Linked DNA regions of Sus scrofa. The protein of the gene in region 1 interacts with the protein of each later gene in a biochemical or structural test. Links are inferred from orthologs where the notes say so. Each region holds a gene or a part of one and is shown on either strand. Other genes may lie near its edges.

Region 1 (4,297 bases):
CAAAGAGAAAGGGTAGTGTAGTGAACCACCACTGTTCCATTGCCAAGCTCTAAGAATTACCAATGCATGGTCAGTCTTTTTCATCTATACCCCTACTCAGTCCTCCTCTCTCCCTAACTTACTTTAAAGCAAATCCTAGATGTTTTATTCACACATCCTAAATATTTCTAAAAGATATTCTAAAAAAGATATAATCACAGGGCCATTATCCAATGATTCCCACTAGCAAATACTTCAACAGCTTCATCTATGGGTAAGGCACTGTGTGGTTTTTGCTTTTGAGGATGAAAATAATTTGCCATGAAGAAACGGTGGTGGTTTACCGTTTGAAGTCACAAGCTCTGAGGAGGTGTGACATGCATGTATGGTAAAAGCTACACTAGATCTACTGTCGGGTTTGGCATTAAGAACGGTAGATTGTGGATTTAAATGACCTGGTTTATATTTTCCCCCTAAACCTTTGGAAAACAAGGCGTGGGAAGGGGATTTAGTGTCTCTATTAGGCTGAGGCGTGTGTAAACTTGTTTCTTTTGTCCAAAAGGTACAAGTTGTTAAGAGAAGCATGGATTTATATGAACAACTTCTCCAAGAGACTTACACACACACACAAAACCAAAACTGCCTCGGTCGGGGAAATTGGTTGGTTTCGGGTCACGTTCCAGCTGTCGGCAGGCAGTACCGGCTGGTTTGCTCCAGGCAGGCCATAGGTCAGCGGCCTCGGCCAAGGACTTGGTGCCTGGGTCTCCAGCAGCGCCCAGGGCTCTCAGGCGACAGGGCGTTTCCTCTTTTCCGGCTTCGAAAAGTTTTGTTTTGGTTCTTAGTTCCCTGTCAAGGAAAGGCGCCTTGTTGACGAAAGGTTTCTCAGTCTCCTCCTTATGGCTTGAGGCCAAGTTTCCCCTATCCCAGTTTAGCCCGACTTGGGTTCCTTCGAGATCCTCGAAAGCACAGGGAGTGGGTCTTCCGAGAAGGAAGAGGAGCCGGCACCGGTACCACCGTCTTTGGCCGGCCCCTCTCTTCGCTCCGTTTTTGAGCCAGTACTCATGACACCGCGAAGGGTGCGGGCAGTCTCCGGGGTGCCTGCTCCGGGACCGGATTCTCCACCACTCCCTAGAGAATACTGTCTTAGCCGCGCCCGCGCAGGCAGGAGTGGAAAGGACTAAATCCCGGGAATGGGGCCCGGGGCGCATGCGCAAGCGAGCCGCGGCTTTTGAGTGTTCGCCCCGCGGCTGCAGCCGCTAGGTGGCGCATGCGCCCTAGAGGGTGCCGGCCGGTCTCCGGGAAGAAGGCGGCGGCTGCGGCGGCGGCGGCGGCGAAAGGCGGGGGCGCCGTGGGGGCCGGGCCGGTGTTTACCCGGCGGCGGGAGGGCGCGGACGCGGAACCCGGTGCGGCGGCGGTGGCACGATGGTCATGGCGCATTTCGTTGAGAATTTTTGGGTAAGAGAAGGATGTTGGACATTGTGTGGGTTTCGGAGTCTGAGAGTTTCGGCGGCTGACCTCGGCCTGCGTGCGCTTCGGGCGGTGGCGGCTCCGCGGGCAGGGCCAGCGTCCTCGGACCGCCGCCTGCTGCGTCCTGCCCGGGTGAAGCCCGTCGGGTGGCTGGTCTCCGGCCGCCCAGACCCGCAGGCTCGCAGCCCCTGCGGGGGGCGGGTGTTGTCAGCGCGGCCCTTCAGTCCGTGGCGGGGACGCCGAGGGGCTGCCGGCCGCCCGCGCTGGGACAAAGCGCCGGATGGGGCGGGAGACGGGACCCGGCCCCGCCGGAGACTCCCGGCGCCGGGCGCCTTCCGCGGCTCAGACGCGGACGCCGGGCCCGCGGCGCGGCCGCTCCCAGACGCGGGCAGCAGGCGAGTGCCGGCCGGGGGGAGCTCGCCTCCTTCCAGCCCCGCAGGCCCCCATCTTAGCCTTTTTGCCCCCCCACCATATCCCCACGAATTCCCGTGCGGGCTTGGGCTGGATCAGCACTTCCTCTCGGCTTCGCAGCTCGGCTCGTGGGTCTGTGCCCGGGACTTTGCCTCTGGGCCTGTTCACAAAGCGCAGAAAAGTTGAATTTAATGTAACTGGATTCCTTGGGCTTAAATGCACCGATACTTCTCCTTGTGCCCTGTGCTCCTTCCCCTTCCTCATTCTTTCCACACCCGTCCTCTTAACTCCGTATTAGTGTTAGCTGGTTCTTTGAGAATGAGTTCCCAGTCTCCCTGTGGAGTGTTTTTCTGCAGTTATTGTTTGTTGTAATGGGAAGTACAGTTCAGCCATGTACAGGAAAGTAGCATGTTTACTTAGGTATCTCAGGAATCCCATTTTATGGCTTGACAGTTGCATGTGCCACAATTCCATTTTAATTTAAGATGTAGAAATATTTAAAGCAGTACTCTCAGTGAGTAAGGAGTGTGTCTTAAATTCTTAATTTCCAAATGTTTCAAGCGGGGACTTGCTTAGTAATCACATCGGTTCATAATTATTAGTCTTGAATGTTTCTTGTTTTCCACACGCGACATAAATACTAGACGTTGGGGTTTTTGTTTTTAACACAGCTTTATTGAGGTATAATTCACCTGCCATACAATACACCCGTTTAAGTAAACAGTTCAAATTTTTTCGTGTATTCATAGAGTTGTGCAAATGTCACCACGCTTTTAGAACAATTTCATCACCTCAGGAAGAATCACGGTATCCTGTAGCAGTCATTCCCAATTTCCTTCTTTCTTTAGTCCTAATCTCTAGATTTCTACCTATGTAGATTTATCTATTCTGGACGTAGTTATATAAATGGGTTCATATATGTGGCTTTGTGACTAGCTTCTTTCACTTAGCATGGCTCCAAGATTCACCTAGGATATAGCATGTGTCAGGACATAATTCCATTATTTTACCCGAATTTGTGATCCAGCGTATGCATACAGACACGCACATATGTATACTACATTTTATTTGTCTACTCATCAGTGGTAGATCTTTGGTGGTTTGTGCTTTTTGACTATTAGGAATAATGCTGCTATAAACTTTTCGTACAAGTTTTTATGTGGACGTATAAAACTTAGAAATGTCTTCATTTCTTTCTGGAATGAAATTGCTAGGTCATATGGTAACTCTCTATTGAACATTTTGGGGAAGAGCCAGACATTTTCCAAAGTGGTTGCACCATTTTACAATCCCATTAGTGATGTCTGAGTCTTCCAGTTTTTCCACATGGTGGACAACATTTGTTATCTTTTTTATTGTAGTGGAGGAATGTAAGTAATATCTCATTGTGGCTTTGATTTTTAGGTAAATGATTTTGTTAGTATTTCCCCCCATTCTGTGGGTTGTCTCTTTTTAATTTTGAAGTCCAATTTATCTCATTTTTCTGTTATCACGTATGTTTTTGTTGTCATATCTAAGAATTCTTTCCTAACCCCAAATTACGAAGGTTTACTTCTGTGTCATTTCTGTGGGTTTTATATGTAGTTTTAGTTCTTACATTTAGGCCTATGATCATTTGAAGTTAATTTTTTTGTAGTGTACCAAGAAGAGGTACCGATTCATTCTTTGCATGTGGGTATGTGGGTATTGAGTTGTTCCAGTACCATTTGTTGAAAATATACCCCCCCACAACCCATGTTGAATAGTCTTGGCACTCTTATTGAAAGTCAGGTTATGATAGATGCATGAGTTTATTTCTGGATTTTTGTTTGTATTCCATCATCTATCATGCTAGTACCACACTGTTTTGGTTACTATAGCTTTGTAGTAAGTTTGGAGTGGGAAAGTCCAACTTTTTTCTTCTTTTTCAAGATTATTTTGGCTTCTCTGGGTCCCTTGGTTTTCCATATGAATTTTAGATTTAGCCTATTGACTTTAGATTTAAGTTTTACAATGGCAATGTATAAAACTTACATAAAGAATGTTTAAAATCTGACATTCTTAGCCTGTTTTGTATTTTTTTGGATGCATAAGTGTGTTTTTGAAGTTTGCTAGCTTAATTCCAAATTGCACATTAACATTTTAAGGTTATCCTTTGTTTCCTCTTCATTGAGGGTTTTTTCTTCCTTTGTTTTTCTTTTTTGGCCACCCCCATGGCATAATGGAAGTTCCTGGGCCAGGGCTCAAATTCCAGCTACAGCTGGGACTCAGGCTGCAGCTGTGTTAACACCAGATCATTAACCTGAAGTGCCACAGTGGTAACCCCTGTTCATTGAGTTTTGAACATAGCTTTTTTTTTTTTTTTTTTTTTGATGTTTTTGCCTATTATGAATACTGCTTCTATGAACATTTTTGTTCAGGTTTTTGTGTGGCCCTTATTTTCCCTCTTAGTAAGGGAATG
Region 2 (3,816 bases), on another chromosome or scaffold:
ACCATGATGACTTTGACGCTAATCAGCTGTTGAGAAAGATCAATGGTAAGCTCCCTACTTCTCTGTCAGCTGGATCAACAAGTCTTTCACTGTCGTGTGGGCCCGCAGAGTCCCTCAGAAGAACCCTCTTCCAACCCACCAGGAGCCTTACTCTTGCTTTTTTTGTTGTTGTTTATCAGGCATCATGGAGACAACCTTATCGAGTTAACTGTTTACCTTAGCTGTTTCTAGGGGCTGGCCCAATGCTGCCATCTTGTGACAATTCTTTTTTAAAAAAAATTTTATTGTAGTTGATTAACAATGTTCTCTCAGTTTCTGCTGTACAGCAAAGTGATCCAGATATATATATATATATACACTCTTTATCTCATATTATCTTCCATCATGTTCCATCACAAGCAATTGGATATAGTTCCCTGTGGTGTACAGCAGGACCTCATTGCTTATCCACTCCAAATGCAATAGTTTGCATCTACTAGTTTGGACTTAGTAGATACAAACTCTTGTGACGGTTTTTTAAAAGGCTGCCAAGAGCTACTGTAATTCAATGGGTTGTGACACCTGGAGGGCTGTGTGAAAAGGACTGATTTTCATGAGTAGGTATGTATGGACTATACTACTCATCTAACAAGGAAAGCTTAAAAAGTGTAGAAGAAAGAAAGGGCTTTGACATGCAACCAGCATTTGAATGCTAGCTATACTGTATTAGCTGACTAGTCTTCAGAGTGAGTTAATCTCTCGGAGCCTTTTTTTCTGAATTGGCCTCAAGGCTTAATGAAGCTTTGCCGTGTAGGTGCTTTTAAGTGAGGTAATTCTGAAGCTCTGCCACTTCAAATGAATGTGCATGGCTTCCTCTTCCAAGAAGGGATGAATTTGCCTGTAATAATCACCCAGAGTCCCAGGATGTGGTAGTGATTTTTGTTCCACAGATGTCAGTTTCAAAAGTATGGAACTCGATTTCCAAGATAAGCCTGACTGGAGGACTTGTGTACGTATTTGGGGAAAACTTGTCTACTGACTGCTTTTTCACCTTCTAGAACTGCCAAAGCCAGCTCCCAGACAAGGTGCCCTGCCAGTTACCAAATCCGCTGACACTGCATTTGAGAACCCCTTCTCTAAAGATCCTTTCCGTTCATCACAAGCCTCTGTAAGTATCGCCTGCTAGGAGCCATTGTTCCCAAGTACATGCCACATAGAGTTACTGCCCCTTGAACTAACCCTGCTTGTCTCTTTGTCTGTAAAGGACATTTGAATATGATTTACCATTGAGAACCAGCACAGTGTAAACATCAGCTCAAACTGGGGAAAGATTATTTTTGCAGGAACTACTCTCCTGAACTGGAGAAACAAACCTCATATAAAAAGTCCTTTTATCTCACTTAAAAAAAAAAAAAATTGAGCCGAGATACTATCTTTAAAAATCTTTCAGATATTTAAGTTCCTAATTTTCCACCCATGACTATTTAGCTCATAAAAATAGTATTTTATATTTGGGAGAAGGCAAACATAATTCTAAATCTTGGTTTTGATGTAAATAACAAATATGCATCACCAGTCACAAGCAGGCAAACACAAATCTTCATAGACACTTATACCATCTGATTCGTCTATGACCTAAATGATATTTAAAGGAATTTGAGAAGTCAAAATTTTAGGTGTTTTTTTATTGCAATTATAGTTATTGACAAGATGCTTTTATCTCCGTAGATGGCTTCTCCTCAACCCACATCTTCCGATGTATATAGGGACCCGTTTGGAAATCCTTTTGCCTAACTCCTGTAAGTAGATGATCCTATTAAGCTTAGGTTTGGTGGGGAAGGGTGTCACAGAGGGTAAGGGTGAAATTTTAATTTTAGATCTGGGAAGAAGTTAAATCTCTGTAATGTAAAAGTAAAAGACATGGAAATCTATATTTAATTCACTAATGACTAGGCTGGGCATTTATGAATAGGATTCTTATACATATAAAAATCAGTGGTTTACTCATATGCATATGGATTTCTATCATCCTGTGTTTTTGATATTTCACTTCTATAGAGAAGTAAAACTCAGTATAACACATAACAGCCTTCTGGATGTTTGACCTTCGTATTGAAGTGATTGCAAAGCTTCCTAGTAATCACTTGGTTCTCTATAGAAGCTTCAAAATCTGAAGACCTTCTGAAGCCACCAACCAGGTCTGCCAAACAGATAATGATCACAACACATCTGCCTCTCAAATCTATGTGTATTTCTTTGTGAGGGGCCTCAAAATTAGTTTGCCACAGTGTGGTGGTATTAAATCCAAAAGAAGTGACAGCTGCCCATATCTCCTTCAAGAGCAGTCTAAGTTCAGATGAGTCCGCTAGTGGGTTTTGTCCTTGGTGAGTTATTTAACCACTGTAGGTAGAGACCTGGGAAGGGGCAGGAGGGGGTGGGGAGTGGGTGTGTCTTTCTCAACAGTGAGTGGAAACAATTTTATCTAATCTTCAAAGATTGAAGTTAGTGGAGGAGAGGTTTATCTGCATGTTACAGGAGGTAGAGTATAGCTGGAAGGGGCAAACAAGAAGAATGAAAAGAACCCAAACCCACTTTTTTTTCAGTCTTGCCCCCATTCAAGTGAGACTGCTAAACTATGTCTTGATCCATCTAGAATTTAATCATTTTAAAGAGGTGAATATCTGAAATCTGATACCAAAAATGAGATTTGAGTTTATTTGCACCTCACCCCACTTCTGTAATTACAGTGTTTCTTAAAGTGCTTTTCCATAAAACCAATTTCAGAGACCTGAGTGAGGTAACCACAAAGGCAAATTCCTGGACCCCAGCCCAAAGGAATCCCCCTCAGTGCTGAGAAAATGCTTCATTTTTACAAACATCCAGATGATGGCTGATGTTAATCAAGCAGTGGAATATATTGAATATATTGAAGGGCTGGAAGTCTTGCAGACACATTCTTCCCTCTTCTCCAGGGGAGGCATACAGGAACCAATAGAAAGGAATAAACTCCACTAAAAGCCTAGGAGGATTACTTGCACTAAATTGAATTGATGAGAATTCTTTTTGGAGGCCCTTTCTTCTTTAGGTCATGAAGGAAGGATAATTTTGGTTAAGCTACTAAATTTATATTGGGGGTTGGTGGGGAGGAGAACTGTCAGGGGAGAAAATAGCTAACATTATTGAGCACTTGTGTTAATCAGTTCGTTAAGGTTCTACAATCCGTTATCTCATCAAAGCCTCTTGAATCAGTCCCAGGAGATACTGACATTTTGAATAACGACATGATTGAGTACCTTGATCCTCAATCAAAAACTTCTAACCAGGGTTTTTTTTCTTCTCCATACTTCTCTAGGAACTTGGCCTGCTGACTATCCAGAGGAACAAAAAGGTTGGCCTTAGTAGTCAAGGACAAAGCTAATAAGCAGACAAGTCCTGACCTCTGCCCTTGTTCTAGCTTTGACATATTATCTGTTGCCTTATTTCTTGCTGTCTCTTCCACTTGTAGCATGCCTTCTGCTTTCTGTTTAGCTAAGCTGAATCTATGGCTTTAAATAAATTAAGAACCTAAACTCTCTAGCTTAAATGTAAATGAAGTAGTTTCCCTATTTGAACCCTTGCCTATTGTGTCCCTAGAACTTTCTAGAACACTTTGCCATGCACCCTCTGGTTGGGCAACGCAACCACATCAACCCCTCAGATCATACTGTTTTGAATAAATTTTAAAATCCTCATTATTCAAAGTGTTTGGGGGTTCTGTTTCAGAGCATAGAACCTAAAGATTGTAGCAGAACAAGGCACCTTTTTAAAATCTTGCTTCAAACCATCACTTAGAATTCT

The links.
Region 2: the proteins of FCHO2 (region 1) and DAB2 form a complex in vitro, tested with the Homo sapiens proteins (2 studies listed by BioGRID). The link is inferred for Sus scrofa from reciprocal best matches to the Homo sapiens genes FCHO2 and DAB2.

What each region holds. Positions count from the first base shown.
Region 1 is NC_010444.4:82,100,046-82,104,342, forward strand, and holds the start of FCHO2 (F-BAR domain only protein 2), read left to right. Parts: upstream 1-1,249; 5' UTR 1,250-1,401; coding exon 1,402-1,434; intron 1,435-4,297. UniProt on the Homo sapiens protein: Functions in an early step of clathrin-mediated endocytosis. Has both a membrane binding/bending activity and the ability to recruit proteins essential to the formation of functional clathrin-coated pits.
Region 2 is NC_010458.4:24,591,902-24,595,717, reverse strand, and holds part of DAB2 (disabled homolog 2), read left to right. Parts: coding exon 1-45; intron 46-1,037; coding exon 1,038-1,147; intron 1,148-1,707; coding exon 1,708-1,773; 3' UTR 1,774-1,778; intron 1,779-3,331; 3' UTR 3,332-3,816. UniProt on the Homo sapiens protein: Adapter protein that functions as a clathrin-associated sorting protein (CLASP) required for clathrin-mediated endocytosis of selected cargo proteins.